4 linked regions of the Alligator mississippiensis genome follow. The protein of the gene in region 2 binds, or shares a complex with, the protein of the main gene of each other region. Links are inferred from orthologs where the notes say so. Each region holds a gene or a part of one and is shown on either strand. Other genes may lie near its edges.

Region 1 (7,856 bases), on a different chromosome or scaffold from region 2:
ACCAAACCCAAGGGCTTGTTTGGCCTTGAGGAACCTAGAACCCAACTGTCTTGGTCTTGGGAGCCACCAAAGAACCTGATAGACCTAGAACTCACCCACCCTGGGTTTGTTGGGTCTTGAGGAACCTAGAACCCAACCCCTCTGATCTTGGTAGCAACCAAAGGCCACTAGGCCTGGATTGACCTAGAACCCACCCTGTGGTTGTGAAACTTAGAACCCAATGCCCTTGATCTGGGTAGCAGCCAAAGGGCATCAGCCTTCATGGACCTAGAACATATGCCTTATGGGGGTTAAACAGAGATTATCTGGGAAACCATTAGCCTTCAGGAACCTAGAACCCACCTGTCCTGAGGTTGAACACAGGTGACTTGATGTCTGTTGGGACTGGAGAACCTAGAACCCACTCCCTTTTGTCTCGGTAGCCATCAAAAAGTCATTATGCCTTGACCTACAACCCACCCATTCTGGGGTGGAATACAGGTTACTTGGGGTCTGGTGCCCTGAAGGAACCTAGAACCCACCCCCTCTACCTTGACCCTCCCCATAGGCTGAATCATTGAGGGCAGAGGCGGAGGAGCTGCGTGGGGCAAACCGACGGCTCCGGCGCCGAATCCGGGCTGTCTCCGAGGAGCTGCAGTTCCAGTCAGCCGATAATGGCGTCTCCCTGAAGGCCGAGCTGGAGGGGACCCAGGGCCCCGAGCATCCCAAGGTGCAGGGACAAGGCCAAGGGTGGGGTTTGGGACCTAGAACCTGACCACCATTGGGTCTTTTAGCCTTGTGCGACCCAGAACCTTCTGCCCATCGGGTTTTTGGCCAGGAAAGACCTAACATCCTCTCACCATTGGCTCTTTAGGTGTTGATGGAACCCATTTGCCATTGGGCCTTTAGGCCTTGGTGAACCTAGAACCCCCCCAAATTGGGGTTTCTGAGTCTTGAAGAGCCTAGAACCCGTCAAGGATTGAGTTTTCTAAGCTTTGAGGGACCTAGAACCCACCCACCGCTGGGTCCTTTAGCCTCAAGGGACCTAGAACACTCCCACCATTGGGCCTTTAGGCTTTGAGGGACCTAGAACCCACCTACCCAGAGTCACCTGGCCTTGATGTACCTAGAACCCACCCAGCCAACCTTGTCCTTTGGCTCAGCCAATGTTGGGAGGGTTTTGGCCTCCATCAGGCCAATCCCACGAGGCCGCCAGGTTCTAGCCCCGCCCCCTCGCTGTACCCCCACAGGCTCCGGCACGGGACAGGTCTGAGGCGCTGCCCCAGGATGCACTGGAGGAGAAGGAAGTGGAGATCGAGCGGCTCCAAGATGAGGTGGGGGGGGTGTGGGGAAGGTAGGCGGTGTCATGGACATCTGGGTGGGGGGAACAGGGCCAGGAGGGGGAGGGTAAGACTGGCCCTGGCCCCACCCCCGCCCCTGGCTGACTCCACCTCCTCCCGTCCCAGCTGGCTGTGCAGCAGGGGGTGCTGCAGGCGGTACGGGAGGAGCTGGGGGCACAGCGGCGCCTCCTGCAGGAGAGGGACGGGGATGCGGCACTGAGGCAGGCACTGGCCCAACGCAACACTGCCATCGACAGGTCTGGCCCCGCCCCCCACAGACACCTGGTTCTCTGGGGTGGGACTAGTGGTTTGGGAGCCAGACAGCTGGGTTTTCCGTGGTGGGAGCAGGGGGGCTGGGAGCCTGGACACGTGGGTTCTCTGCAGTGCACGTAGGAGAACTAGGGGGTTTGGGAGCCTGGACACCCAGGTTCTTTAGGGTGGGGAGTGCGAGCAGGGGGGGCTGGGAGGCCAGATGCCTGGGTTCTCTGGGAAATGGGGGGGGGGACTAGGGGATTTAGGAGCCCAGACACCTGTGTTCCCCACCCTCTTCGCCTCCCCCACAGGCAGGGGGTGCTGGCGGAGACGCTGGAGCGGGTGACGCGGGAGCGCGATGCCCTGAGCCGCCAGGTCCTGGCTGCCGCCCACCAGAAGTGGGCGCTGTCCCGGGAGCTGGAGGCCTGGCAGGTAAATCGTGCGTGTCCCGCGGGCCTTTCCTGGGGGTCTCAGGGGCACCCGGAGGCCTGGGCTACCTCCCCAGGCAGGAGGGGGGCACCCTTAGGTGGGGCATGGGGAAGGGGGGGCTTGGATGCCTGGGTCCCCACCCACTGTGGCCCCTCCCCCCCAGGACGACATGCAGTTTGTGATTCACCGGCAGCTCCAGGCCCAGTGGCAGCAGGAGGCCGGGGCCCCGCCCCCTGTGCGCCGCGGCAACAGCGCCCCCCATGGCGGCCACTTCCTGTCCTTCTTCCGTCGCAGCTGACAGGCCAGGGAGCCGATAGGAGCCGGGAGCTGGGGCGCTGAAGGTTCACTTCGGCCTAACCCGTGGGCTCACTGCCCTCACTCTAGGCCTGGCTTTGGCCTGCCAGTGCCTCTGGGTCTCTTTCCCATACCAATGTTCTAGGTCCACCATGGGTTCTAGGTCACTCAATGCCCACTCTAGGCCTGGCTTTGGCTTCAGTGCCTGTACGCTAGGCCTGGGTTTGGCCTACCACACTCTCCCTCCCGTAAGCCTCTGGGTCGCATCTCTCTCTTGGTGGCTCACTATGATGTTCTAGGTGTTTCTACCATGGGTTCTAGGTCACTCAAGGCTCACTCTATACTTGGCTTTGGCCTATGTCTCACCTACAAGCCCCTCCCTCTGCTCCTGGGCCGGACGCCTGGGTTCCCTGGGAGGGGAGTGGGGCCTGGGTTCCCTCCCGTGTACATGCTCTGTGCCTCCGTTTCCCTCAATTCAATTAAAACCATCTTTATTCCCAATTTGCGCCCATTTCTCCTCCCCACCCCCCACCCCCAAGGCCTCCGATTGGCTAACATAATTTCCCCCATGCCATGCCCGATGCTGTACATACCCCCCCACCTCCACAGCACTGTCTGGAGGAAGCTCACAGCGCTGTAGCTTTGGGGGTCAAAGCCCCGGCCTGGAGCAGGGCCCAGATGCCGCGGGGGTCCTGGCTGCTGGGGGGGCTCCATAGCACCGCCTCTGTGGTCCTGTGGGGGGGGGGGAGCAGGGCAGCAGATTAGGAGGTTCTGGGGCAGTAAGGGGGGAGAGGGGTAATTAAACCCTCCAGCTGGAGGTAGGTACTCACAGGGCCATGGGGAACTCCCCGTCTAGGATCACAGTCTCCTCTTCCTCCTCCAGGGTGGCATCCTGGGGCCTGGAGTGGGGGGGGAGATGCGGCTGAGTCTGGTGTGTCATGGCCAAGCGTAATGAACAGAGACCTCTTCTCCCAGCCCCGGTATGCGAGATGCAGCTGAGTCTGGGGCGTGATGGCCAAGTGGAATGAATGGGGATCTAGCTCCCCCTCTTCCTCTACAGGATGCAGCTGAGTCTGGGGTGTAACAGCCCAGGAGAACAAACAGAGATCTGCCCTCACTCTAGCTATAGGCTGAGTCGGGCATAACCGCCACGAGGAACAACTAGAGAACTCTTTTCCTAACCCCTCTCCCCCCACTACGTGAGATGCAGCTGCAGCTGGGGTGTGACAGCCAAGTGGAACGAATGGGGATCGAGCTTCCCCTCCTCTTCCTCTTTAGGATGCAAATAAGTCTGGGGTGTAATGGCCCAGGGGAACAAACAGAGATCTCCCCTCACCCAATGGAAATGGGATGCAACTCAGTCTGGGGTGTAACAGCCAAGTGGACAGATAGGAATCTACCACCCCCTCCCCTTTTTGTATAGGATGTGGCTGAGTCTGGGGTGGCATGGCCCAGGGGAACGAATAAAGATCTTCCTTCCCTCACCCTATGTAAATGAGGTGCAGTTGAGTCTGGCGTGAAGCGGCCAAATGGAACAGAGAACTCTTTCCCTGCCCCCCCCTCCCCCCATGACATGCAGCTGAGTCTGGAGACTAACAGCCCAGGTGAATGGAGATCTCCCTTCTCCCTACGTATATGGGATGCGGCTGTGCCTGGGGTGTGACAGCCGAGCGGAACAAAGGGGCATCTCTGTCCTGCCCCGTGCCCCCTTCCCCCCGCCCTGTGATGCAGCTGAGTCTGGGGCAACACCTGGGGGGCCTCTCACCCACGCGGCAGGGGGCGGGGCCAGCGGGACGGGAAGCCGTTGCTGCCGTAGGCGTGGTCGTGGTCCAGGCTGAGGGTGTTGAAGCGAGCGGCCATCTTGTCCTCCGACAGGAAGTGCTTCCGGGTTGGCTCCCTGTGGTGACAAAGGCGGGAGGGCAGGTGAAGGCTCCCAGCATGCTTCGCTCCCGCCTTCCCACAGTGCCTTGCTCCCCCCCATACTCACGGCTCCTGCTTCTCGAGGCGCCGCTTGCAGGCCAGGGCAGCAGGGCGGGGCGTGGGTCGGCGGGGCAGTGCCGCGGCGGAGAAGCTCACCACCACTGGGGCCCGCCCCGCCCAGGGCATGCGGGCGGGGACTTCCTGGCTCCAGCAGCGGGGTTGGGGCAGGGCCGGGGGGTCCATCGGGGGGGCATTACCTGATTGGAGGAGGGAAAAGAGAGTCAGGCCAAGGAACTCCCATCATGCATTGTGGTTGGGGCGCCTCTGGAGCTGAATCATGCCAACTCCTGACTTCCCATGATGCCCTGGGGCCACTCAGGCCAAGCCCAGGCGCTCCCATGAACCCCCGGGGCTGAGCCACACCAACTGGAAGCTTCCCATGATGCCCTGGGGCAGTTCAGACCAAGCCTAAGCCCTCCCATGATCCTCTGGCTGGAGAGAGAATGAAGTGCAGGGGTGCTGAGGACAAAAGGGGTGTGGCCAAGTGACAAGGGGCAGGGCCTACCGCAGAGCACAGAGCGAGCATGCGCAGAACAGTCGGGCAGCAGGTGAAGTTCCGTTCTGCGCGTGCGCAGAGGCGAAGGCAGGTGGTGGAAAAGGAGGGGGAACCACTCCCGCCGGGCTCATGCGCAGAGCCCCGGGACCGTGAGCCTGCTCGCGGGGGGGGATGACAGTTGGGCTCGCGGGAAGTGGCGGGGAGGCGGGGCGCATGCGCACTGGGCACTCGCGGGTCTTATTTCGTGCTGTCGGGGCCTGAAGCCGGGAGGGGTGAGGTGGGGCCTTACCGGGTTCCGTTCCCCACGCTGCGCCTCCAGGGTCCCCCCCTTCTTCCCTTCCTTCTGACGTCAGGGTCGCGCGGCCTGCTGGGAGTAGGCGAAGGGGGAGGGGACCCAATCTGGCGCCGGCGTCGCGCGGATAACGTCATAGAGGCGCGACGCGGCGGCACGCTTATGGCGCCCCAGGAGGTGAGCGACAAAGAGCGTGGGGGCGCCCGGGGCGGCTCCCAGCATGCACCGCGCGGGTCCTGCCAAGCCCTGGGAGGTGTGAACCCAGCATGCACCCTCCCAGCATGCTTTGCTCCCTGTCCTGCCAACCCTGGGGTCTCCCAGCATGCCTTGTGCCCCCCCCATGCCAACCTGAGGCTTTCCCAGCCTCCCTTGCTCCGCACCTGGCCAGCCCGGGCATCTCCCAGCATGCCTAGCTCCCCTCCTCCCTCCCCCGCCTTCCCATCATGCCGTGCTGCCCCCCAGATGGACGTCCAGCGGGCCTTGGAGCTGCTCCACATGAGCGTCTTCTCCCAGAGCGTCTCGCCCTGCGGGAAGTACCTGGCAGCCGGCAACAGCTACGGGGAGATCGGCATCTTCAGGTACCCCAACCTGCCCCCAGCCCGCCCCGCGGGCACGCCCCCCAGCTCCCCTAACTGCCCTGTGCCCCCCCAGCCTGTCGGCGGCGCTGAGCGCGGAGGCCAAAGAGGAGAGCAAGAAGCCGGTGGTGTGTTTCACAGGTGGGTGTGAGGGGAGCGGCTCCCCACAATGCCCCGGGGCTGCTCACGCCAACCCGGCTCCTCCCCACAATGCCCCGGGGCTGCTTGTGCCAACCTGGGCCTTCCCACAATGCCCTGGGCCTGCCCCTCCCGCCCCGCAGCCCACGATGGTCCCGTCTACGCGCTGACCTCCACGGACCGGCAGCTCCTCAGCGCCAGCGACGGGGAACTCAAGGCCTGGAACTGGGCGGAGATCGTTAAGAAGGTAAGCCCCGCCCCTAGCCCCGCCCCTGATGCCCGGGTCCCCTGCGCTTCATCCCCCTCCACGTGTCCCCCCAGGGCTGCAAGGAAGCATGGAGCCGCCGGCCCCCTTATAGGTAAGCCCCACCCCAAGTGGGAGCGGCTTCACATTGGCCAGTGGGAAGAGAGCAAGAGGGCATGGCCTCCCCATGTGGCCACACCCCTTCTTTCCCCACATTTGCTTCCAGGAGTAGCCTGGAGGTGCCTGAAATCAACAGCCTGCAGTTGAACCTCAAGGTGAGTGTGGCCCTGGGCATTGTGGGATAGCCAGGGGGAGGGGCTAGCCTCCAAGCCCCGCCCCCTCCTGCCTGTGTCTCCTCTTCTCCAACAGGATAACAGCCTTCTGCTGGCTGGGGGCGACTGCACCGTGCACGCCATGGACCTGGAGACAGGGGTCTTCACCGTGAGTGGGGGCAGGGCTCTCGGCCATCCGTTCATCCCTCCGTCCATCCCCACAGACCTCCGTCCATCGCTAGGCCTTTCCCTCTTTCTGTGCGCGTGTCTACTGTTGGACTTCTTTGTTCATATCACCATACTTCTCCGTCCATCCATCCTTTCGTCTGTCACTAGAGTCCTGCATCTCCAGACTCATCCATCCCGCACTACACCCTCCCCATTCCATCTACTTGCTTGCCACCCGGCTTCATCCATCCGCCCATCACTGGCCTCCTCCATCTGTTCGCTGTTCGTCCATCCAGTCTGTCACTAGATCTCTCTATTCATTCCTGTCTCCATCCGCTCACCACTAGACTTTTCCATCCATTTCTTCGTGCGTTCATCGCTGGATTTCTCCGTCTGTCCTTCCATCCCTCACTAGACCCTCTCCATCTGTCCACCCATCCGCATATCACCAGACTTCTTCATCCCTCTTTCCTTCTTTCCACCCATCGCTAATCTTGTCTGTTTGTCCGTTCTTCATCTCTCCCCGTATACGTTCGCCTCTACATTTATCTGTCGCTAGATCTCCCCATCCATCCATCCATAGGCTCTCCCATCTGTTTCTTCATCTATCTGTCATTACATTTCTCCACCAATCCATCTGTAACTAGACTCATCCATCCACCCCTAGACCCACCTATCCATCCATCCCTAGATCCCGTCCCGCTCACCCGCTCTCCCCCACCTTCCCAGCATGCCCTGCGGGGCCACACCGACTACATCCACTGCCTGGCACTGAGGGACCAGTTCCACGAGTGCCTCTCGGGCAGCGAGGACGGGTCTGTCCGTCACTGGGGTAAGTCCCGCCCCTTTCCCCACCCCTGCCCCGCCTTTGCTGAGACCCTGCAGGGCTCGTGACACCCACTCCCCACCACCCCGCAGATCTCCGCACCGGGGGGCAGGTACAAGCCATCGAGGTGCACAAGTATGAGGTGAGAACCCAGACATCCGGGCTGCCAGCACCCCTGCTGGGGAACCCAGGTGTCCAGGCTCTGACCTGGCCTTCTCTGCCTCTTCCCCCACCCCCAGGAGTGCAGCCGGCCCCAGTATGGGAAGTGGATCCGTTGCCTGGCGACAGACTCCGATTGGATGGTGAGAGGGCAGGGGAGACCTTTGGAGCGAGGGTATCCCATAGTGCCTTGGGTTTAGCTGTGGTGGCCAAAGCAGGGTATCCCAGAATGCTTTGCTTGCAAGCATGGCTGCCTACAGTGATATACCCTAACAAGGTTGGGCAAGGTACCCCATAACGTCCTAGGACCCAGGCATGGCTGACTGCGGGAATATTCCACAATGCCTTGGGTCCCCATCATGGCTGATCACTGGAATATCCCACAGTGTCTTGCTACCAATCCAGCCTGGTC
Region 2 (6,993 bases):
TGTCGAACAGGTCGTGCTGCCACTTCTCGGGGAGCTGCTTGGGCTGCAAGGGGACAGGCGGGCTCAGCGCCCGCGGCCGCGGGGACCCGAGCACCGCCCGGCCCGGCCAGCCAGGCGGCCCCCGCGGCCCGGCCGCCCCCCGCCCCGCCCCCGCGTACCCGGCTGTAGGGCGCGGGCCGGTTCCTGCCGCCGCCGCGGGCCATGAGCGGCCGGTTCCGCAGGGGGCCGCCGCCGGCCCGCCCGGCCCCCAGGCCGCCCCGGCCGGGGCCCCCCCCGCGGGCCGCGCCGCCCCGGCCCCGGCCCCCGCGGCCGCCGGCGCGCCCGGCCCCGCGCTGGCTGCGGTTCAGCTTGATGATGTCGTCCAGGGACATGTCCATCTTGTCGGCCATGATGGCGGCTCCGCTCCGGGCCTGCACTTCCGGCCGCGCTGCGCCCACGCCGGAAGCGGAAGGGGCGGGGCGAGGGCGAAGGCCGCCCGCGCGGGGCTTTATGGGGCCGCCACTTCCGGGGACGGTGCGCGCGCGGGGGAGAGCACGTGAGCGGGGCGGGGCCGCCACCGCCCGTCTCCTCCGCCCCGCGGGTACTGGGGGCAGGTGTAGCCCCAGGGGGGGCTGTGGGGGGCAGATGTGACCACGGGGGGGGGCAGCACGTGGTCGCGGGGGGTGTTGAGGGGGCAGATGTGACCGGGGGGGGCAGCACATGGTCGCGGGGGGTGTTGAGGGGGCAGATGTGACGGGGGGGGCAGCATGTGGTCGCGGGGGTGTTGAGGGGGGCAGATAAAGTCCGGGGGGGGGGCAGCACGTGGTTGAGGGGGGCAGATGTGATGGGGGCAGCACGTGGTTGCGGGGGGGTGTTGAGGGGGCAGATAAAGTCCGGGGGGGGGGGGGGGCAGCATGTGGTTGAGGGGGGCAGATGTGACGGGGGGGGGCAGATAAAGTCCCGGAGGGGGGGCAGCACATGGTTGAGGGGGGCAGATGTGACGGGGGGGGGGGGCAGCACGTGGTCGCGGGGGGTGTTGGGGGCAGATGTGACGGGGGGGCAGCATGTGGTCACGGGGGGTGTTGGGGGGCAGATGTGACTGGGGGGGCAGCACATGGTCGCGGGGGGTGTTGAGGGGGCAGATGTGACCGGGGGGGGGGGGGGGCAGCACGTGGTCGCGGGGGGGTGTTGAGGGGGCAGATGTGACGGGGGGGGGCAGCACATGATCACGGGGGTGTTGAGGGGGCAGATGTGACGGGGGGGCAGCATGTGGTCGCGGGGGTGTTGAGGGGGGCAGATAAAGTCCGGGGGGGGGGGCAGCATGTGGTTGAGGGGGGCAGATGTGACGGGGGGGGGGGCAGATAAAGTCCCGGGGGGGGGCAGCACATGGTTGAGGGGGGCAGATGTGACGGGGGGGGCAGCACGTGGTCGCGGGGGGTGTTGGGGGCAGATGTGACGGGGGGGCAGCATGTGGTCACGGGGGGTGTTGAGGGGGGCAGATAAAGTCGGGGGGCAGCACGTGGTTGAGGGGGGCAGATGTGATGGGGGGGCAGCACGTGGTTGCAGGGGGTGTTGGGGCAGATAAAGTCGGGGGGGGCAGCATGTGGTGGGGGGGGGGCAGATAAAGTCCCGGGGGGGGCAGCACGTGGTTGAGGGGGGCAGATGTGATGGGGGGGCAGCACGTGGTTGCAGGGGGTGTTGGGGCAGATAAAGTCGGGGGGGGCAGCATGTGGTGGGGGGGCAGATAAAGTCCCGGGGGGGGGGGGCAGCACATGGTTGAGGGGGGCAGATGTGACGGGGGGGGGCAGCACGTGGTCGCGGGGGGTGTTGGGGGCAGATGTGACGGGGGGGGCAGCATGTGGTCACGGGGGGTGTTGGGGGGCAGATGTGACTGGGGGGGCAGCACATGGTCGCGGGGGGTGTTGAGGGGGCAGATGTGACCGGGGGGGGGGGGGGGCAGCACGTGGTCGCGGGGGGTGTTGGGGCAGATGTGACGGGGGGGGGCAGCACATGATCACGGGGGGTGTTGAGGGGGCAGATGTGACGGGGGGGGCAGCATGTGGTCACGGGGGTGTTGAGGGGGGCAGATAAAGTCCGGGGGGGGGGCAGCACGTGGTTGAGGGGGGCAGATGTGATGGGGGGGGCAGCACGTGGTTGCGGGGGGGTGTTGAGGGGGCAGATAAAGTCCGGGGGGGGGGCAGCATGTGGTTGAGGGGGGCAGATGTGACGGGGGGGGGGCAGATAAAGTCCCGGGGGGGGGGCAGCACATGGTTGAGGGGGGCAGATGTGACGGGGGGGGCAGCACGTGGTCGCGGGGGGTGTTGGGGGCAGATGTGACGGGGAGGCAGCATGTGGTCACGGGGGGTGTTGAGGGGGGCAGATAAAGTCGGGGGGCAGCACGTGGTTGAGGGGGGCAGATGTGATGGGGGGGCAGCACGTGGTTGCAGGGGGTGTTGGGGCAGATAAAGTCGGGGGGGGCAGCATGTGGTGGGGGGGGGCAGATAAAGTCCCGGGGGGGGCAGCACGTGGTTGAGGGGGGCAGATGTGATGGGGGGGCAGCACGTGGTTGCAGGGGGTGTTGGGGCAGATAAAGTCGGGGGGGGCAGCATGTGGTGGGGGGGCAGATAAAGTCCCGGGGGGGGGGGCAGCACATGGTTGAGGGGGGCAGATGTGACGGGGGGGGGCAGCACGTGGTCGCGGGGGGTGTTGAGGGGGCAGATATGACAGGGGGGGCAGCACATGGTCGCGGGGGGTGTTGGGGGCAGATAAAGTCCGGGGGGGGGGGCAGCACGTGGTTGAGGGGGGCAGATGTGACCGGGGGGCAGCACGTGGTGGCGGTGCCTGAGCTGGGCCCTGACCCCGTGCCGCCCCTGCCAGGCGCCCGGGAGCCGGCCGTGCACGGCGCCATGAAGGTGAAGATCAAGAGCTGGAACGGGGTGGCGTCCTGGCTGTGGGTGGCCAATGACGAGAACTGCGGCATCTGCCGCATGGCCTTCAACGGCTGCTGCCCGGACTGTGAGTCGCCGCTCCCCGGCCCCTGCCCCCAAGCGCTCGCTCCCTGCTGACCGCTGTCCTTGCCTCCTAGGTAAGGTGCCCGGCGATGACTGCCCCTTGGTGTGGGGCCAGTGCTCGCACTGCTTCCACATGCACTGCATCCTCAAGTGGCTGAACTCGCAGCAGGTGCAGCAGCACTGCCCCATGTGCCGGCAGGAGTGGAAGTTCAAGGAGTGACGGCGCCCTGGGCTGCAGTTCGGCCTCCGGGTTCCCTCTCCCTGCGGCCTGGAGCAGCAAAGCGTTGGTGTGGCATCGCGCGTGTGCCAGGCACTCGCAGGGACACCAAGCAGGCGCAGGCCAGGCCCCAACACACTCTGACTTCCCGCAGACGCAGAGCAGCTCCCGGCTGCCGTGAGCAGTGCGGATGTGGCTACATGTCTAACATGTTCCCAACGTTCGTGCGAGGACCCCAACCGTGGCAGTCGCATCCACACAGCACCTCTTCCCTCCGTGCAGCCCGAGCTGGTCGGCTTTTCCTCTGCCCTGTGCCTTGTGCCTACAGGGTCTGTGCAGCCCCCATTCACCTGGGTGAAAGGGCAGCAGGACAAGGTGGATCCCATATTGCCCTTCCCGTGGCAGCCATCAGTGTCTCCACGAATATGTGAGTCCTTGTTTGGGCACTGAACATGGACACCCCTGTGCCTGACGTTTTAGGCGCTGCTACTGCTGGCTCAGCTCTGCCCGGACCCAGACAGAAACATCTTGTTCAAACGTGCCAGGAGGCCGAGTGAGTTTAGCTGAACCTGTCCCCTGCCTGTGCCCTGAAAAGCCCTCTAAGGCCTGGCCTGACTCCACCTTTCTCTGGCCTCTGGGAGGGCTCTAGTAGCTGCCTCAGGCTGTTCCTCCTGTGCCTCCATGTGTGGGCATCCCATGTCCTGTTCCCTTGATCAAATGCTCTTGCGTCCTCTCAGCTGCTGAAGGTTTGCTGGTGCTGCTTGTCACTCTGCATCCAAGCAGGCTGCTCCCACATGTTAGCAGCCGTGGGAGGCTGTTGGCTCTGAGCGTTAGCAAGAGCGCCAATGCTGCCATGACCTGGAGGGTCAGGGGCTGCAGGCCGGGCACGCTCCTCAGCAGCAGCATCCTGCGCTCTCTGAGTCTCGGCCGCCGGCCTGATGAGACCTGCTCCTTTCAGGCAGCCTCCAAGCAGCAGCAGCATCGGCTAATTTCCAGCTGCGACGTGTTGGTACGTGGATTGGTTTCAATAAACCCTGGGCTGTGATTCATGGTTCTTGCTGCTCCTTACTGTTGTGGGCCCAGGGGAGCTCTTGTGAAGGCGGCTGCCCACCCACAGACACCGAGGGGGCGACTGAGTCCATGCTGTTGACAAGGACTCTTCCTGGATGTGCAGCCAGGTGGCAGGATGCGACCTGTGGCCCTGCCTTGGCAGTGATGCCCGTCCCCACGCTAGCTGAGCTGACTGCCCACGTCCCGCGAACCACCTGTGCTCCCTGCTTCATCCTTGGCAGTGCCCCAGCTATCCCTGCCAGGCAGACCACCTCCAGCTGCATGATGGAGCCTTGGGGGGGCAGGAGAATAGCGCAGCAGGGACCCCTGTCCTGGGCTGTGGGGCTGACGAGGGGTCCTGTCGCCCAGGGGAGCGATGCTCTTCCATGGGTCCAGCCCCTGGGAGCAGTGAGTACAGGACATTTCAGGGACGAAGGGAGGGGAGGTGAACCAAGGAGCAGGTCTGTGATGAGCCCTAGGGGTGGGGCTCTTCCTGGGTTTGCTGGGAGGGGGCGCTGGGGGCAGGCAGCAGGATGCAGCTACAGAGAATCCTAGAGCCTGGCGCCTAGTCCGGCCCCTGCCTGAGGCAGGATCAGCCCTGTCCAAACCAGGCCAGGCAAACGATCACCTAAACTGCCCTGACACCATCGCACCTGAGCCCCCTCAGAGGAAGCAGGGGGGTGCAGCAGCCATGGTCCTGCTGTCAAAGGGGCTTCATAGATGCTCCAGGGACCCGGGCAGAGACTGTGCCCCGACTGCAGAGGAAGGCAAACCACAGCTGGTAGGGCGGGGAGTCCCGTTGCAAGCCCCTCTAGCCAGGACCTTGCGGGGTTGGTCCCAGCAGGAGCAATGGCACGGGCCAGCCCCGGCTGCAGCAGGACCCAGCGCCTCGGGGAGGCTTGAAGGTGCCCTGACGCCCTATCAAAGCCCGCGAAGTCCGGCCCAGGCCCGTGCACCCCTCCGCGGGCCGGTAACCGGCGGGAGGTGCCCCGTCCCGTCCGGGCCCTGCTCCGCCCGTGCCGGGAGCGGGGCTGCCCGCGGGGGCGGGCGCCGCAGCCGGCAGCAGCCCCGGCACGGAGCCGGGCGGGGGGCGGCGGGAGCGGCTCGAGCTGCCCCGTCCCCTCGGGCGCCCCAGCTCCTCCCGAGCGGGCGGGGGGCGGAGGCTGCGGGCCCGCCCCCCGCGCCCGCTATAAGGAGCCGAGACGGGGCGGGAGCCGCCGCTGCTGCCGCCGCTGCACGATGCGCGGAGCCCGGGCGCTGGCGCTGAGCCTGGCGCTGGCCGCGCTGCTGGCCGGCCCGGCCGGCGCGTGGTACAAGCAGGCGGCCGGCCCAAACTACTACTCCGTGGGCCGCGCCTCGGGGCTGCTGTCCGGCATCCGCCGCTCGCCCTACAGCCGCCGCGCCGAGCCCGAGCCCGAGCCGGAGGCGGAGGCTGGGCCGGGGCCGGGGCCGGAGGGCGGCCCCGCGCTGCTGCTGCCCGACCTGCCGGGCGCCGCGCCCCGCCCGCCCGCCGCGCTGCGCGCCATGGTGAGTGCCCGGACGGGGCGGGCGGCGGCGGGCGGGCGGCTCCGCGCTCACGGCGGCTCTCCCCGCAGGCGCTGTGCGTGAAGGACGTGGCCCCCGAGCTGCGGAGCTGCCAGCTGCTGCCCGGCGCCCCCGGCACGCTGCACTGCAAGGCGGACGTCACCGTGGCGCTGGACCCCGCGGCCTGCGCCTGAGCCCCGCGCCGGACCGCCCGCCCCGCCCGCCGCCGCCGCCCGCCGCACCTCAATAAACGCGCTTGAACCTCCCGTGTGCTCGCGCCGTCGCTCGGGCGGGGAGCGGGCTGGGAGGGGGGCCGGGCCGGGCCGGGCCGGGCCAGGACGGGGAGCTGGGGAAGCCCCCCCAACCCCGCCGGCGGCCCCGGTGCGCTCCGCCGGGAGGCCCCAGCCCCGTGCCCGCTCCGGGTGCGGTGAGCGGCGGCAGAGCCCCGCCAGACCCGTCGTCCCGCAGAGCCCGGCCGCTGCGCGCTCCCCCGCCGGCCGCCCGGGCCCGGACAGCGCCCACCCGGGCGGAGGCGGCGCGCCGAGACCCGGGCCGAGCCCACCGGCTCGGGGTCGGTGCCCCCGGCTGCCGCACGGACGCGGAGCCCGGACGGGCCGCACCGGGCAGCGGCGGAAGAGCCCAGAGCGGCAACGGGCGGCCCCGAGCCGCGGGTCGCCGGCTGAGCCGGGAGCGGGGAGTCCCCCCCCGGGCCCCGGAGCGCCAGGCGGCCCAGCGCGGGAGGCAGGGACCAGCTCGCAGCCGCAGCCCCGCGTTAGTGCCGGGTGCCGGCGGCGCCGGGGATGGAGCCGAGCCCGGGCAGGCGGCCGCCGCCCCGCCCCGGCCAGCACCCGCGGGCCACTGCCCCTGCCCCCGCCCCGGGCCGCTGGGCGGGAGGGCGGGCGGCTCCGGGCGTCCTGGGCCCGCTCCGCGGGACGCCCCGTCGGGCCGCGCTGCCGGCTGGGCGGGGCCGCACCGGGGGAGCCCGGCGAAGCGGGGCGAGGGGCCCGGGCCGTGGCGGGAGAGGCAGCACCGGGAACTTACCCGCAGGCGCGGCTGCAACTCGGGGCCCGCGGCTCCCCCGCCGGCCGTCCTGCCCGCTGGCCCCGCTCCTGCTGCACCCGCCGGCGGGGCCCGGGCTGCTGGCGCGAGGTCCTCGGGGCCGGGCCTGGGGAGGGGCAGGACTCCCGAGCGCGCCGCCGGCCAGCCGCCCCG
Region 3 (7,376 bases), on a different chromosome or scaffold from region 2:
AAAGCTGATGCCATACGGAGCTGCACAGGATTATATTCTGAGTAGTAACCACTTCCTGGTGCCATGTGAAAATGAAGTCAGGCCATCTTTTGAAATAAATACACTCGAACAGTCAGTTTTCTGTGCTCAAAGGCCAAGTTGCGTTAATGAGACAGCTCTGTGGTAGAAGCAGCATATAAAAATGCAACAAACAGTAGCTTGTTTATGGAGCAATGCATGTGCATTCTCCTCTGTGCAGTGACTCTTCCTCGGGCAAGTAAGATATCATTAGTTTTGTATGGGCTACTGAACTCTCATGGCAGTTGTGTGAGTAGGCTTTAAATAGAGCCTCCTCAACAGCCTGTGACTCCCTCTTCTGAGACTCAAATGCTAGTTCAGTCTTTGTTTAGCAAGGGCTTGAATCAGGCAGACTCTTAGCATCTGCCTGTGCCAGCACTCCCAGCTGGGGGAAGATATCAGACCACACTACATGCCCTTTTTCTCCTTGCAAAAATACGATTCCCTGGGTAGGACCAGTTCAGCTTCATTATAAATGAGCATCTGACACTTTGTTCCTCTTGTTTTAATTAAAACAGATCTTGGAACCTCATGAGTCTCAAGGGATGGATCAGCAGCCAGGAGATCCCCACGGCTCCAGTGCTGTTAATAGCCTAGCTCTCGGCATCCAAAGTCCCTTCCAATTTTCCCAGCATAGAGTCTGAATCAAAAACCAGAGCAAGATAAATTGCCTTTCACGCACTGCCACCACATCTTCCATTGTATGTCCAAGTTCAGTACAACACGTGCATTTTGTATGTATAATTTTTATACAATAAAACACTAGATTTTTTGGGTAGTTTGTCTTTTTTCTTCCTTTCCTAATGAGAGATGCAGGACTGATGATCTGTTCAGTGTGCTGTTGGCTCTGATGTGCTGCTATCCCTCGTAACAAAACGTACGAGTGTCTGTTGCTTTCACAAAAACCCCTGGATAGCTGGTGTCAAAATTGGCACCTCCCTGCTTGAAATATAGGTGTGCCATGGCGGGTATGAAAAGCTGCTTAGTTTCTGGTCTGTTACTCCGGGGTTTAGGCAGGCTGGCCTGAACTGAACCTGTCTGTGCTGATGGCATGCCTTTTCTTTGCTAACCCCTGCAGGAGCCTTCCTGTACCTGAAAAGGGAACTGAAATGGAGAAACCACCTGTGCTGATGGAGAAAACACCTGCCCATGTGGTGCTACCCTCACTCAGCCCTAAGCTGCTTCTCTGCTGCTGTTTATGGCCTCTCCTGGGGGAACTAGCTGTTTGATGCATCACAAACCTGAGAACAATGCCTCCCTCCACCCCTTCTCTCCCTAAGAATTACCACAGTTGCCTGCAAATTAGTCCCTGCTGGTCCCAGCATCTGGTTATATCAGACAGGATTTATTGACCCATCTTTTGCAGCATAGCCCTGCTGATGTTGCACAAATTCTGCCTTGCTGCCTTAACTAATGTGGGGGGGAGGCAAGGGTGAGGATCAGATCTTGCACTGTTCCTCCCAATACTCCTTTTAAAAGGCTTTTCAGCATGGGAAGGCTAATAACAGTATTGCCTTTGGGTGAATGTGCTGTCTCTCCTTAAACTGTTATGAAAAGCGGAGCTACCAGCTCTTGGAGGTGGGGAAGGCAACAGTTGCTTTGTAGCATGCTGACTGGCAGGTCTTTAAGGAAAGAAATAGGTCTCTTCCCTCTTCGTTGCGGAAGGGGAGATGAAGACGTCGCGTACTGTACACAGTTTGAATGGACAAGAACAGGAACAGCTGCACCGGCCGGATGTTTGTAGAACCAAATTTCCCATTAGCGGAAGCCCGTTATAATCCTCTTCAGCTGAGCACGGAGCTAGCTGAAAATAACAGTTTGGTCCTGCTGTTCACGCTTGCTCCTGCACTGGTAGCTCCCATCGGACCATCTCCCAGATTGTAGGAAAGGTGGGGAAGCTGAGGCACAGAAATAAAGGAATAATCTTGTCAACTGAGGCAGAAGCAGAGCACTCGTGAGAGATTCTGCTGCCTTGAATTTGGGAAACCAGCAGAGACTCCTGAGAGGGGAAGAGTGAAATTCTGGCCTGACTTGGAAGGAATAAGGATGCAGTGGTGGAAAAGGAGATGGCTGTGCTCATGGGTACCGGTGACTGAGTACAGCTGTAGCAGCATCTGCTTATAAAGGGGGCTGGAAGGCATTATGAAGAGCCAGATTGGGGGGTGGGGGGGGTGTAAGCTGTTTTCTTTTCAGGTCATACCTGCTCTGCACTTTGCCTCATGTTTCACACTCTAGCTGTAACTCCTTCGCTCCAAGGCCTGCGGGAAGGACATGTGCAGAAGACGCTATACAGAATAAAATGGTGTCATTCTTTTTTTTCTTCTTTTTCGGGGGTGGGCAGGACGAAATGCCTATTTCACGTGCCTGCCTGCTGACTAGAAGAACATGAAGAGCTGCTCCAAGTGAGAGACACAGTTTCCACCCTTTTCAAAAAATAAAATGAGAAGGAACATAAAGTTTTGTTCTTCCACCTAGCATGACTTCTTTTAAAATCTTGAAGTGGGGGGGGAATGGCACTGGGCTGTTTCACTAGCAAACACAGCATCTTGCGCACGCAAAGCAGTTGCTGTCCAAAACCACTTGGCATCCATAAGCTCCTTGAGAAATTATTGCCGCTTGGCAGTTCCCCCCGCATATTTTATAGCTACGACGAGATCTCCATGCTTCTCCATTTGGAAAAGAGCTTAAAAAAAACCCAACCCATTCTGACTAAGGCTAAAGTAACATACTGGATGCCATAGTATAGATGGCGATTTCTACCCCCAGCAAATAGGGGTGAGGATGTTGTCTTTGGATGAGTGTTGGCTGGCTCAGGTGAAATGGGTTTGTGGGGTCTCACTAAACAGGTGCCCCTACAACGAAACCGGTAGGCAAGGAGGAAGGAACAACCTTCCTACTTGATCTAGCTGGGGATGGAGCTGCTTGGAGCAGGAGGTTGGATTAGATGTGACCTCCTGAGGTCTAACCCCCATTTTCTACGATCCGACAAGTAGTGGTGATCCCTGTCCAGGAAGACTGCTTGTGTAGGGGGATCATCCAGGACCAGCCTGTTCAAGGGAAGCTTTCCTTGATAGCACCACGACTGCCAACCCTCCTCGCTGGACGGGGAGAAGCTGCCGGAGTTATGTTAAGGATCCTCTCTTCGATCCCGGTCCAACCGTGCTGTTTTCTGGGTGTCGGGAGGGGGTGGCAACTTCGTGCTGCCCTCCTCAATGTGGGTTTTTGTCCATCCCCAAGCCCCGGCTCCTGGAGCCTGGATTACTTGATTCATCTTCCTTCCCTTAGACCAGTGCTTCTCCACCTGGCACCTGTTCTCGTCCGGGCACCTCGCTACGCCCATTGCACTCGCTCAGCGTTGTGCGAGGAGCGAGCTTTGCAACCATCGTCTCTGCCAGCTGAGATGCAGACCTGCCGAACCCGCCTGGTTTCACGAAACATCGCTTGGAGAGGCCGCAGAGATCTCCTGCCACCTTTGGGGGGAAAGGAGTGAGATCTCTGTGCTGCGACGGTGGAAAAGTCACAGGGCTGAGTCCCGTCTTGCACAATTGTCTGCACTGACTGTCACGTCTGCCTCCCGCGGGGGCATTGGGGAACCGGGCGGCTCACCAGCGCTTATCCTCTCCTCTCCCCTCGTTAGACGCCAAGCCCCCTCAGAAAGTGCCGTCTCTGCTTTCACTTGTTTTTTCAACTACAGAGAAACCCTCAAGTGAATCCAAGATTGGGGGACAGACCCAGGCCTCCTATTGGAGATCTCCAGCTGTGTCCTAGGACGCGCCTAACTGTGCGAACGGTGATGTGGCGCCCCCAGCCCGGCTGAGACTCGCCGCCTTGGGGCACCACTAGAACGCTGGGCTCCCTTTGCTCAGGGGACTCTGGGGGCACCAAGGGGCTCCCCTGAGGTGGTGCTTTCTTAAAGGAGCCTCATGTTTAGGGCCAACCCCAGTAGGGGGGGCAGCTTGTTGTCTAATAGGGGCTAATCCCCCCCATTGGAGGGTGCAGGCCAGGTCCTGAGGGGTGCAGCCAGAGCCTGGCACCCTGCCGTGCCTGTGGCTGGGCTGTCTCAGGCAGGGAGGGGAACCCACCACTAAGGGAGACAAAAAGGCCTAAACTGGGCCCTGAGTGGTTGCTATGGAGACCCCAAGATGGCGCCCGCCGCCAGCCTGACGCCCTTCTCCAAATGGCGGCGCTCGCCACCTAGCAGCGTCGTTGCGTCATCACGCTTCTCCCCTGCCTCATTCCCTTCTCAAGATGGAGGCCCCTAGCAGGGGTTTCCTGTCCATAGGGTGAGGACACTTCCGCCCTGCTTCCCGGCATGCCTTGCAGCACCGGGGCAACTTCTGGTCGGCAGCGGTGGCGGCGGAGCGCGGCAAGATGGCGGACGTGTTGGATCTGCACGAGGCGGGCGGCGAGGACTTCGCCATGGACGAGGATGGTGACGGTACCGCGGGGTGACCCGGATGTCCCCCCCCCCCCTCTGGCCGGTCCCCCCCGGTTCCGGGTCCCATCGGGCCTCCCCCGCCCCCCGGCCTGGGGCTGGCCTAGTCCCGGTTCTGGGTCCCGCTTCAAGCCTTTTCCCGCCGGTTCTGGCCCCGCCCCGCCCCGCCCCGCCCGGTCTCCTGCCCGCGGGGCTCGGTTTGGTTCTCTCCGGCCCCCGCGCTGACCGCCCGGTCTTGCCCGCAGAAAGCATCCACAAGCTGAAGGAGAAGGCCAAGAAGCGCAAAGGCAGAGGCTTCGGCTCAGGTAAGGACGTGGCTGCAACCCCCGCGGCTCTGTCCGTCTGCGCGCGGGGATCCCAGTGCTCCCAGAGCCTCCAGTGCAGCCTCCAGACTGGTGTCCGCTTGTTGCTGGCAGGGCAGAGCGGGGGAGGGGCCGGGGGTGTTGCGATGCCTGGGGCCTTTCAGCTGTGAGCAGATCCCTCTGTCTCCCGCGTCCGGCTGTCCAGACCCTTCCCTACCTGCAGCAAACGTGCGCAGGGTACTCGGTTGTCTGCCCCGCGGCCCTTGGTCCTGCTTGGAGCAGGGGGTTTCCCGGTCGTTAGGGGCTGGAAGGGACCTTACAGATCGGGTCCAGCCCCCCTGCACGTGGGCAGCGAAGACCGCTGGGATCAGATGACCTCAGGGTTGGACTAGATGTGATCTCCTGAGGTCTCTTCCCGCCCTTATTTTCTATGATCCTATGAATACATGTTTGTCTGCATCACTACTGTTACAGGCTCTTTGGGGTAGGGTGTCTGAAAACCGGTGTCTACAAGCTCGGGTGTCTGGTGGTGGGGTGGTCGCGCAGGAAACCGTCACTAGTTGTCTGAAATGATCCACGTTTTGCTTTTCTCCCCCTGTGCCCAGAGGAAGGCTCCAGGGCCCGAGTGCGTGAGGACTATGACAGCGTGGAGCAGGACGGGGACGAGCCGGGGCCTCAGAGATGTGAGTACAGCTGGGGATTTGTTCTGGGGTCTTTGGTGGGTGAAGTGTCACACGAGGTTGCTTTAAGGAAGGGCGGAGCCAAGTCTTTCATTGAAGTGGGGTCCGGTGGGTAAAATGCTGGATAGGGACCAAGGGACTGCTGGGGTTATTTTACCCCAGCAGTCTTTTCTGCCCAGAGCAGGGGGGCTAGACCTGATGATCTCACAAGGTCCCTTTCAGCGCTGAACTTCTGTGAATCTGAGATGTGGGTTTTATTCGCAGTGCTGCCACTGGCTGGTTCTGTGACCCTAGTGTCTCAGCTTCCTCCCTTGTAAAGTTGTGAAAGATAAGAAGCATTCTCTGAGAGCCAGGTATCGCTGCTGTCACCATTGATACAACCACACACAGAGCAACTTGTCTGTGCTCGTGGGGTGTTGGGATTGTTCTAGGTTAGGATTCAGGTTCATTGCAGGGGTCTGGGGGGCAGAAACTTTTCCTGCTGCTCTGCAGCCATCCTCATTAAGGAGTAAATGAAGAACTGCTGTTGCCAGGGGCATCGAGCACCTGCATTCACTACCCCTCCATTCCTCCTCCCATAGCTCCACTCCAGAGTCTTCAGGCCAATAGGAGATTACAAGCTACCCAGGCTGAGATGTGGTGGGAGTAGGGATGTCCTTCCTTGGTGTGGCTGTGAAGCTGTGCACGTGCAAGTTCACTAGGGCTCTCAGACCAGGCATCTGGGTAATGAGCGCTGCTTCCCTTTGCCCGCAGCGGTGGAGGGCTGGATTCTCTTCGTCACGGGAGTCCACGAGGAAGCCACAGAAGAGGACATTCACGACAAATTTGCTGAGTATGGCGAGATCAAGAACATCCACTTGAACCTGGACAGGCGGACGGGCTACCTGAAGGTAGGGGGCTGGTAGGGAGAGGGCTGGCTGGGGTCTCTAGACAGGTGTGGTCACGTCTTTGCCCTGCCACAGACTCTGTATCTGTGCCACATAGTTTAATCTCTGTGCTTCAGGTTCTTGCCTGTATGATGTGGGGGCGGTGGGCCTTTGAGGTGCACAGCTTCCTCGGACACGGAGGCCAAAGCTGCACTTAAACGGGCAGCTGCCCCTTAATGTTTCATACAAATGATCTGGGCAGGGTGAGGAGACTGTGTGTGAGCACAGGGATGCCGGGGTTCTGATCTCAGCCTGAGGTGCGGTGGGTGCTGCTGGTAACAGCAAGGGACTCCTGGCTTCTTTCATGGGATCCCTGTGAGATCCCTATGGTTTCACAGCTGAATCCCAGATGGGATCATATCACAGAGAAGTGCTAGGGAGGCTTCATACTAAGAAAGAGCCTTGAAGAGGGGTTGGGTACTAATATGGATCCCTGTCCCCCACCTCTCTGGGAAGCTCCTGGTTCAAGTGAGCAGTTCAGTTCAGGGCAATAGCTGGAAGGGCAGGGCAGGGCAGCAGCCTTGCCTTTCAGGCTTGTATTCCTGACACTGGTGAACAAGTGGAGAGGGGTTGTGGGAATTGGAAGCCCAGGGGTCTACTGCTGGGAGCCAAGGTGAGCGTGGAGTGAGGGTGACTGGGTGCTGATGCCACTGTCCTTGCCTCCTGCAGGGATACACACTTGTTGAGTATGAGACCTACAAGGAGGCTCAGGCGGCCATGGAAGGGCTGAACGGGCAGGAGCTGATGGGGCAGCCCATTAGCGTGGACTGGTGCTTTGTTCGGGGACCACCCAAAGGGAAGAGAAGGTGAGAAGGGGCCACATCCTGGCAGGGGATCAAGTTGCCCAGCAGGAGCCAAATGGGTCCAGGATTGTCTCTGGAGCAGGGAGCACACACTCAATGGGATAGATCAGGTCTCTGCCTCTCTCGCTTGGACCTGAGTCCGGGCACAGTTCGTCTGTGTCCTTGGGGCTTTT
Region 4 (7,315 bases), on a different chromosome or scaffold from region 2:
CTGGGGGCTGGGCAAGCTGCAGACTCGGGGCCACATCCTGCCTGGCGTTGAAGCCATCATGAGGCCTCCACTTGCACCCCCTGCCCTCTCTCAGTGGTGCCCCACCCCGCACCCGGCTGCTCCCAGGGGTGCCCCAGGGGCCTCTGCAGCCAGGATTAGCGCTGGTGACTCATTGTCAGGGCCCGGGGCCTAGCAGCTGCCCTTGGTGTGATAGTCACAAGGACAGGCCCCGGGCAGGCAGACAGGAAGCCTTGCGTCACCCGATTCTGCTGGGGCTGGACCCCCGGGGACCCGGCGCTGAGGTCCAGCGAGGCTCAGCACAGCCCCGGGAGCAGAAATGGCAGCTGCCTCTGGGGTGGGGCAGGGCACATTGTACAGTGGCCGGGCAGCGGAAGTGAGGCCAGATGCCGCCCGCGACATTGGAACAAGCACCCCGATGAGCACCTGAATCGGCATCTGGGACAACAGTGGAGCCACGCCCGGGCTCTTGCGCAAAGCTCTGGAATCGAGACCAGGATCGGGGCTGGGAGGGGGTACCGGGGCACAGCCAGGCAGGGCCCCCCAGCCCGCTCCCAGCTCCAGGCCCTCCTCTAGCTCCCTGCAGCCGGGGGCCATCAGTGCCCCCTGCCCAGCCCCCGGCCCAGGGGTCCCACCCGGTGCCCCCAGCCAAGCACAGCGGGGCGGGGAGCGGGGCCGAGAGGAGCCAGCGGGACCAGCTGATCCAGCAGCACAATGCGGTGCGGCTGGCAGCCCCGCCATGCCCCCCTGCCGTAACCGGAGCTGCACCACGCTGGCTTTATCAGCCCGGGCCAGCCTGGGAATCCAGTTTCCCGGCTCCGGCGTTACCGCAGCAACCTTTCACCGAGCGATTCTTCAGCAGGACAAGGGGCCTTTCTGTGGCCGCGCCGCAACAGGCCTGGCGGCCAGGGGGGGCTCGGATGCGTCACCCGATAGGGCCCCCCTGGCCACCTCCCTTTGTCCAGCGGGAGACACTCGATCGCACGAGCCTTATCAGCTCGCCGGGTGCATTACAGCCCATCCGGCTGGGTCTGGCACGGCTCAGAGTGCCCTGAGTGTGCCCAGCCCTCAGTCTGGTGCCGGCTGGGACATGGTCCTGGGGTCTGCACCCCATCCCAGCATCGAGGGGACAGTGGTGGGCATGGGGGTCCTGGCCTGGCACCAGCAGTGACTCCCGTACCCTAGCCACGGCATGGTGCAGAGTCCACACCCCACAAGGCCACAGTGCTGCCGAGCCGGGGGGGGTTTCCACGCATGGAGATGCCAGTGACCCCCGTCCAGTAGAGCTGGGGGTGCAGAGGCATCTCCGGGGGTGAGAGACAAGGGCATGTGCATGTGCACAGGGTACAAGCATGCAGGCAGCAAGCACCGTGTGCTTCACCAGCCCCAACGGGGACTAACGGGCCCCCCAGGGCATTTATGTCCCTTTAAATCAGGTGATCGCAGCCAGCAGTGCCAGCCAGCCCGTCTCACCGCGGGTATCAGATCCTCCCGCAGGGAAGGGGGGCTCGGGCTGATGTACTTAAAGTCACTGACCAGCCACATTGCTCATTCGCGGCTGTCGGAGCAGGTGGCTGTGCAGGCAGCCCAGGTGCAGGGAGCCCAGGTGAGCCCAGGGGCCAGGGTGCAGCCCAGGGAGAGCCCAGGTGAGGGCCCAGCCAGAGCTGATGGGCAGTGGGGAGCAGGGGTATGGGGTACAGGGGCCAGGGGACGCTTCCTCAGGGCCCCTGGGATGAGACAGAGCAGCAAGGAGCTCAGACCTGGCTGCTGCACTCTCCCTGGGGGGCCCTGATCCTGCCCGCGGCCACAGCTGCATGCACCCCAGTGCAAAGCACCCTGAGTCTCAGGCACCCAGCTGCCCCCCAGGGCAGAATGAGGCCCCTGGTTACCCCAAGGCAAGGAGGGAAGGAGCTGCTTGGTGGCCTGGAGGGGACCCATGGCCACAGCCGCAGCACGAGGGGGGGAGCGTAGCGCCCCTGGGAGACCCACAAAGTCTGCCCCCTTAACCCTTCGGGCGCCTCTCCAGGCCAGCAGGATGGAGTCGCAGCTGGAAAGCGCCATGATGACACTGATCACCATCTTCCACAAGTACTCGGGCAAGGAGGGCGACAAGTACAAGCTGAGCAAGAAGGAGCTGAAGGACCTGCTGCAGGGCGAGCTCAGCAGCTTCCTGGAGGTGGGGGCTGCTCCCAGGGCAGCCAGGAGCTCGCGGGGCAGAGCAGGGGGGACGGGGGAGTCAGGGACAAGACCTGGGGTTCCCCTGCCATGGGCTGCAGGGCACGGGGGTGGGTGGGCATCCCTAACCCGGCCTGGGGGTGTCCCTGCCACAGGTGCAGAAGGACACGAGTGCCATGGACAAGATCATGCAGGACCTGGATGAGGACAGGGATGGCGAGGTGGATTTCCAGGAGTACGTGGTGCTGGTGGCTGCCCTCACCGTGGCCTGCAACACTTTCTTCTGGGATGACTCTTGAGCCCAGGGCCAGGCCCCAGAGCCCCGTGGGAGTCGCACTCGCTGCCCCATCCCCACAGCCCCCAGCTTCCCGGCTCAGAGCCAGCCTAGACCCTGCTACGCAGAGCCGTGCATTAAAGCCTCCGACCAGCCACTGCGTCACGTCCCTTCCCGTGCGCCAGGGAGGGGGCACGGGGACCCCGGGGAGGGAGCAGGGGCTGGAGGTGCCATGTATGGTCATGCTGCACCACAGTGGGCACCTGCCTGGGCTGCACCAATCCTGGGGGTCAGCCCAGGGCCATCCTCATCCACAGGAAAAACCGTTTGATTGAATGTGAGATACTGCAAGGGTGGGAGCATGGGCACCTGACGCCTAGCCGACTGCAGTCTCAGGCCGGGAGCAGGTGCCGCACCCCAGCGCTGGCTGGAAGAACTCGTTCCTATTTCCCGTCCCAGTGGGAAGGAGCCAGCGGGGAATAAACAGCCTCCTCCTGGTTGGGGCTGAGCGGCACCGCACTCATGTCGGGAGTGCCCTCTGCTGGGCTGGGCTCAGGCATTGGCACCGCGCAGCAACCTGCACCACGGGCTGGGAGGAGGCCAAAGCGCCCGGCAGCGCACAGAGGCGAAGTCTTTGGCAACATCTTTTATTAGAGCAACTAAAGAGTTGCAAAAAAAGGTGTTGTTTGGACGCACACATCCTTCCCAGGCAAACAAAAGACATTTAAAAGGGTGAGAGATGAAAGAGGGTCACCAATCCCCAGGGCCAGGCTGGGGCAGAGCAGAGCTGATGGGAGCAGGGCTGGGCCCAGGGCAGGTCTGAGGTGAGTGGGGAGAGCTGGGGCCAGACCCTTCCCTGTCCCTCACTGCCCCCCGCCTGCCCCCTCCCAGAGGAGGGAATTGCCCCAGCAGGGAGGAGAGCATGGGCTTGGGGGCAGCTGCCTGGGCCACAGCCAGGCTAGGGCCCAATGCCGGGGTCTCCCCCAGGTAGACGGACCTCACACCACGGAGCCACAGCAGGCCCTAGCCCCGCAACCCCGCCCCAGGCCCCGCCCCTTGCCTGAGACCCCTCCAATTTTCATAGCCCCGCCCATTCCCGGGCCCGCATATCTCCGTTTAGCCCCGCCCATTCCCCCTACACACCCCTTCCATTCTCCTGGCCCCACCCGTTTCCCCCTACGCCCGCCCATTCCCTACCCCCACCTGTTTTCAAAGAAGATAACACCGCCCCGCCCCTTCCTCTGGCCCCGCCCATTCCTCGGGCGCGCCCGTTTCTCTTTAGTCCCGCCCATTCCCCTAGACACCCCTCCCGTTCTCCTGGCCCGACCTGTTTCCTTTAGCCCCGCCCATTCCTCAGAGACCTCTCCCGTTCCCCTGGCCCCGCCCACTTTCCTTTAGCCCCGCCTATTCCCACCTCCCTCTGCACCCCCCCAGACGTCACATGGTAGGGGAGGAAGGAAGGCGGTCACGTGTGTCAGGGGCTCCCCGCCAGTATGTCGTGTGTTCTAGGACAGTGTCACGTGGCGGGGGAAGCTGTCTCGTGCCTCAGGGGGCTTCCCGCGAGGGCACGTCACGTGCTGTGGGGATCGCGTGTGTACAACCTACACCCCTACACAAAACTAGGAATTCTTGCCATAGGGATAGCGTCACGTTCTGCCCGGGCGGCGCCTGCGCAGTGCGGCCCGTGAGGCTCCCGCCAGGGAGTGTCACGTGTCGCGGCGCTCCGGCGGCACCTGCGCACTCCAGCTTCCGAGGCTCCCGCCGGGGAGCATCACGTGGTGCCTGGACGGCGCCTGCGCGTTGTGGCTTCCGGCCGCCATTTTGCCCGGCTCGACGCGGTGAGCGGGCGGGGGAGGGGCAGTGAGCGTGAGGCGGTGGCGGCCATTTTACCTCGGGCGCCGGAGCGGGCGGAGGGGAGCCGCCCGCAAATACTCACCCACTCCGCCCTGCTCAGCCCAGCCCAGCCCAGCCCAGCCCCGGCTTCCTGCCCCAGCGCGGCCCGGAGGCCTGACCACCGGCTCCTTCGGTGAGAGCGGCGGGGCGCCACGCGGGAGGGCTCAGGAGGCCGCCATTGGCCTGCGGCGCGGGCTGTCGGGGGCGGCGGGGCGCCGTGTCCAGCTCTGGAGAAGCCGGGCTGGGCCGGGCCGCGCGCCCGTTCCCGCCATGGCGGGCTGGGCCCGAGCGCCTGGAGGGGGAGGGGTTGGCTCCGCGGGAAGCCGAGCCTGCAGATTATCGCCGACCGCAGCCGGCTTCCCTGCCCGGGGCCGGGGCCAGATGGCGTCTTCGTGAGGCCTGAACTCGTCCAAGCGGTAAATGCTGTGATCCCCGTCGGGGCAGCCGGGCGGGTTTAGGAGCCTCCTGGCAGGTGCCGTCTGCCTCAGACCTGGCGGACTCAGCAATCCCTGAGCTGCGTGCGTCTTCCCGACGTGCCGGTGTGGGAGTTGACCTCGGGTCAGGCCGCAGCCGCCTTAGGAGACAGATCGTCTCCGAGTAGGGGAAATGCGGCACCGAGCGCGCTGAAACGGGGCGCGTTGGGCTCCTCCGGCCCTGTGAAGATGGAGGAGCGGTGCCTGGACGCAGCCGTCCATCCAGGAACCGCCGCATGCCTGTGGGGGGTTCGGTGGTTAGTCAGGCGCGTGGGCACGATCGTGGCTGGTGCTGAAGCGTGCCGCTAATCGGCTGCATCGTGAGTCTCTCCATCCGTTACGGGGAGCAAGGCCGCGTGTTGAGAGGAGGCGACGCGCGTTTCTAGCATTGCGAAGCGCGAGTCGTTCGGGTGGTTTTTGTCACGTCCTCGTGCCAGCCCTTCTTGGGCTCGTGGCTGTCTCCGCAAAAGGGGCTGTGGCCGTGCGGCGAGGTATGTAGCGAAACAAGCGCGTGGTCTTGCGTCTTGCTGCTAAATCTGCCCCTCGTTGCTTTCCAGATTCTCTCACCCCGAAGATGGCTGCGCAGTCGGCGCCAAAGGTTGTGCTAAAGAGCACCACCAAGATGTCTCTGAACGAGCGGTGAGGAAGCCAACAGCAACTTCAGCTCATAAGAAATTTGTACTTAATTTGTCACTGTGTCCAGTGTCAAAAACCAGCGTGGTTTCTGCCCTGTTTTAACCTAACTAAAAACAAGTAATGGCTATGCACCTCTGTCTTAAGTCTCGACACATGTGGTACACGAGGTTAAAAGGGCAGTTATTTCGGAGGCTTGTGTCAGTAACTGTTAATAATTTGAGACATAACTATGGTGGGCTGTGTTGTACAAAGAAACCTCGCACACTCCCTTTTTCTTCCACATGTTTTTACATTATATAGTTGACGCTGCAGCATGGTAGCATGTTACCGGAGCTGCAGGAGGCTTGCTGCTTTGTCCGAGGTGGACACGCGTGTGGTGTCACCTGTAAGAGGCATGCAGCAGGCCACAAAACCAGCCCAAAGGCCCTTTAACAATGTTCTTGGACCTTGTAAGAGGCAAACGCTTCGCTTCATCTCCATCTCTCTCATTTCTTGGCTCTGCTTTCTTATTTCCTCTGTTCAATACTCTGCTGCTCTCTCTCTCTCTCTCTCTGTCTGCCATGAAGCTTTCGCCAATATAATATAATATGATGAACTAACAGCGAAGCTCCCAATCGCATTTCACTTCCTTACTAAATCACTCTTGGATTAAGTGTTAATATCATTAAGCCAAGGAGAAATGAAGTCATTTTTTATGCAGCTCCTGTTCTAGCAAGCACTGCGTGAGACGTAATCTGGGCCAGTGCTTGGGGCTGGCTAGCCAGAAAGTTGGCGCCATGCCTGCCTGCCTGTGGTGGCTGGGCTAGTCCATATCCATAATTCTGTAAAGTTTTAACTTCATCATCTTGTAGAGCTCTCTGAACACCATAGAAACCTGACCTCATACTGATAAGGAAGCTTACTTCCTGGCAGTATGTACCCTCCTGTATAATTTTTAAAGGTGGAAGATCCTTAATATGCCAGAGAATATCCTGGGGTCGGACTCAATGATCTATTGAGGTCCCTTCCGACCCTAACATCTATGAATCCTGAATGCAAAAGCAATCCTACTATAAACTAATATATTCAGATAGCGGCATCTGGCATCCTTAAAAGCGTTGTCCCCAAGGTTTGCTTTTCTGGTGTCAAGGTGACAGCACCAGCTCTACTTACGAGAGACGTCCAGTTAAACAAGTCAGTTTTCTCCCCTTCTTCCTCCCTCCTCCCCCAAACCAGTTGTCTTGGCTTTGCAGTCAGACTTTAGTGGGCTTTGCTGTTTCTTTGTAATGTCTTCTCCCATCTTTCATGGTCATCACTGCTTGTTGCTTGTTTTTTTTCATACCTTCTTCCACCTTTAAAAGCAGTAACTTTATCACTTTTAAATTAATGTGCTGCACTTTATCCATATCTAAGTTTCCGATTCTTGCACGTTTATGGAAAACAAGGATACGTAACTCGCATATGACATGATCTGAGTGTACCACTTCTTACTTAAGGTCATGGGATCTGGCGATCCAGTCTTGAGAGCCATGAAATGCCAATAATTGTTTTTATTAAAACTTTATTTAAACACCCATTTTGTTCGACCTTGAAGCTTTACTAATATGCTGAAGAACAAACAGCCGATGCCGGTGAATATTCGGGCAACCATGCAGCAGCAGCAGCAGCTAGCCAGTGCCAGAAACAGAAGACTGGCCCAGCAGATGGAGAATAGACCTTCTGTCCAAGCTGCCTTGAAACTTAAACAGGTGAGAGAGGGGGTCATATTCCACTGCAGACAGTTGGTGGTACCTGTCAGCAGCTGGTGACTTTTCAGGACGTGATGGATTTCAAAAGGTGTTCCTGAAAATGAGAACTGAAAATTTTG

Evidence for each region.
Region 1: ALYREF (region 2) and THOC6 share a complex: the UniProt entries of both Homo sapiens proteins name them as parts of the transcription/export (TREX) complex. The link is inferred for Alligator mississippiensis from reciprocal best matches to the Homo sapiens genes ALYREF and THOC6.
Region 3: ALYREF (region 2) and RBM8A share a complex: the UniProt entries of both Homo sapiens proteins name them as parts of the ALYREF/THOC4-EJC-RNA complex. The link is inferred for Alligator mississippiensis from reciprocal best matches to the Homo sapiens genes ALYREF and RBM8A.
Region 4: ALYREF (region 2) and CHTOP share a complex: the UniProt entries of both Homo sapiens proteins name them as parts of the transcription/export (TREX) complex. The link is inferred for Alligator mississippiensis from reciprocal best matches to the Homo sapiens genes ALYREF and CHTOP.

Annotation. Positions count from the first base shown.
Region 1 is NC_081830.1:644,652-652,507, reverse strand, and holds the start of THOC6 (THO complex subunit 6 homolog), read left to right. Parts: upstream 1-4,841; 5' UTR 4,842-4,919; intron 4,920-5,123; 5' UTR 5,124-5,224; coding exon 5,225-5,239; intron 5,240-5,524; coding exon 5,525-5,640; intron 5,641-5,713; coding exon 5,714-5,778; intron 5,779-5,918; coding exon 5,919-6,022; intron 6,023-6,096; coding exon 6,097-6,134; intron 6,135-6,245; coding exon 6,246-6,294; intron 6,295-6,388; coding exon 6,389-6,460; intron 6,461-7,188; coding exon 7,189-7,291; intron 7,292-7,377; coding exon 7,378-7,427; intron 7,428-7,524; coding exon 7,525-7,587; intron 7,588-7,856. Other genes in the region: BICDL2 (BICD family-like cargo adapter 2), read left to right, coding at 548-709, 1,230-1,313, 1,446-1,576, 1,883-2,003, 2,164-2,298; HCFC1R1 (host cell factor C1 regulator 1), read right to left, coding at 2,921-3,026, 3,125-3,193, 4,060-4,191, 4,282-4,457. UniProt on the Homo sapiens protein: Component of the THO subcomplex of the TREX complex which is thought to couple mRNA transcription, processing and nuclear export, and which specifically associates with spliced mRNA and not with unspliced pre-mRNA.
Region 2 is NC_081831.1:482,861-489,853, reverse strand, and holds the start of ALYREF (THO complex subunit 4), read right to left. Parts: upstream 3,004-6,993; 5' UTR 2,969-3,003; coding exon 2,857-2,968; intron 581-2,856; coding exon 159-580; intron 44-158; coding exon 1-43. Other genes in the region: NPB (neuropeptide B), read left to right, coding at 5,497-5,784, 5,853-5,975. UniProt on the Homo sapiens protein: Functions as an mRNA export adapter; component of the transcription/export (TREX) complex which is thought to couple mRNA transcription, processing and nuclear export, and specifically associates with spliced mRNA and not with unspliced pre-mRNA.
Region 3 is NC_081838.1:17,854,044-17,861,419, forward strand, and holds the start of RBM8A (RNA-binding protein 8A), read left to right. Parts: upstream 1-4,361; 5' UTR 4,362-4,428; coding exon 4,429-4,495; intron 4,496-4,737; coding exon 4,738-4,797; intron 4,798-5,399; coding exon 5,400-5,477; intron 5,478-6,227; coding exon 6,228-6,364; intron 6,365-7,069; coding exon 7,070-7,206; intron 7,207-7,376.
Region 4 is NC_081838.1:13,226,112-13,233,426, reverse strand, and holds the start of CHTOP (chromatin target of PRMT1 protein), read left to right. Parts: upstream 1-4,312; 5' UTR 4,313-4,493; intron 4,494-4,687; exon of another isoform or gene 4,688-4,776; intron 4,777-5,390; 5' UTR 5,391-5,407; coding exon 5,408-5,472; intron 5,473-7,042; coding exon 7,043-7,196; intron 7,197-7,315. Other genes in the region: S100A1 (protein S100-A1), read left to right, coding at 1,535-1,624, 2,045-2,194, 2,349-2,492. UniProt on the Homo sapiens protein: Plays an important role in the ligand-dependent activation of estrogen receptor target genes. May play a role in the silencing of fetal globin genes.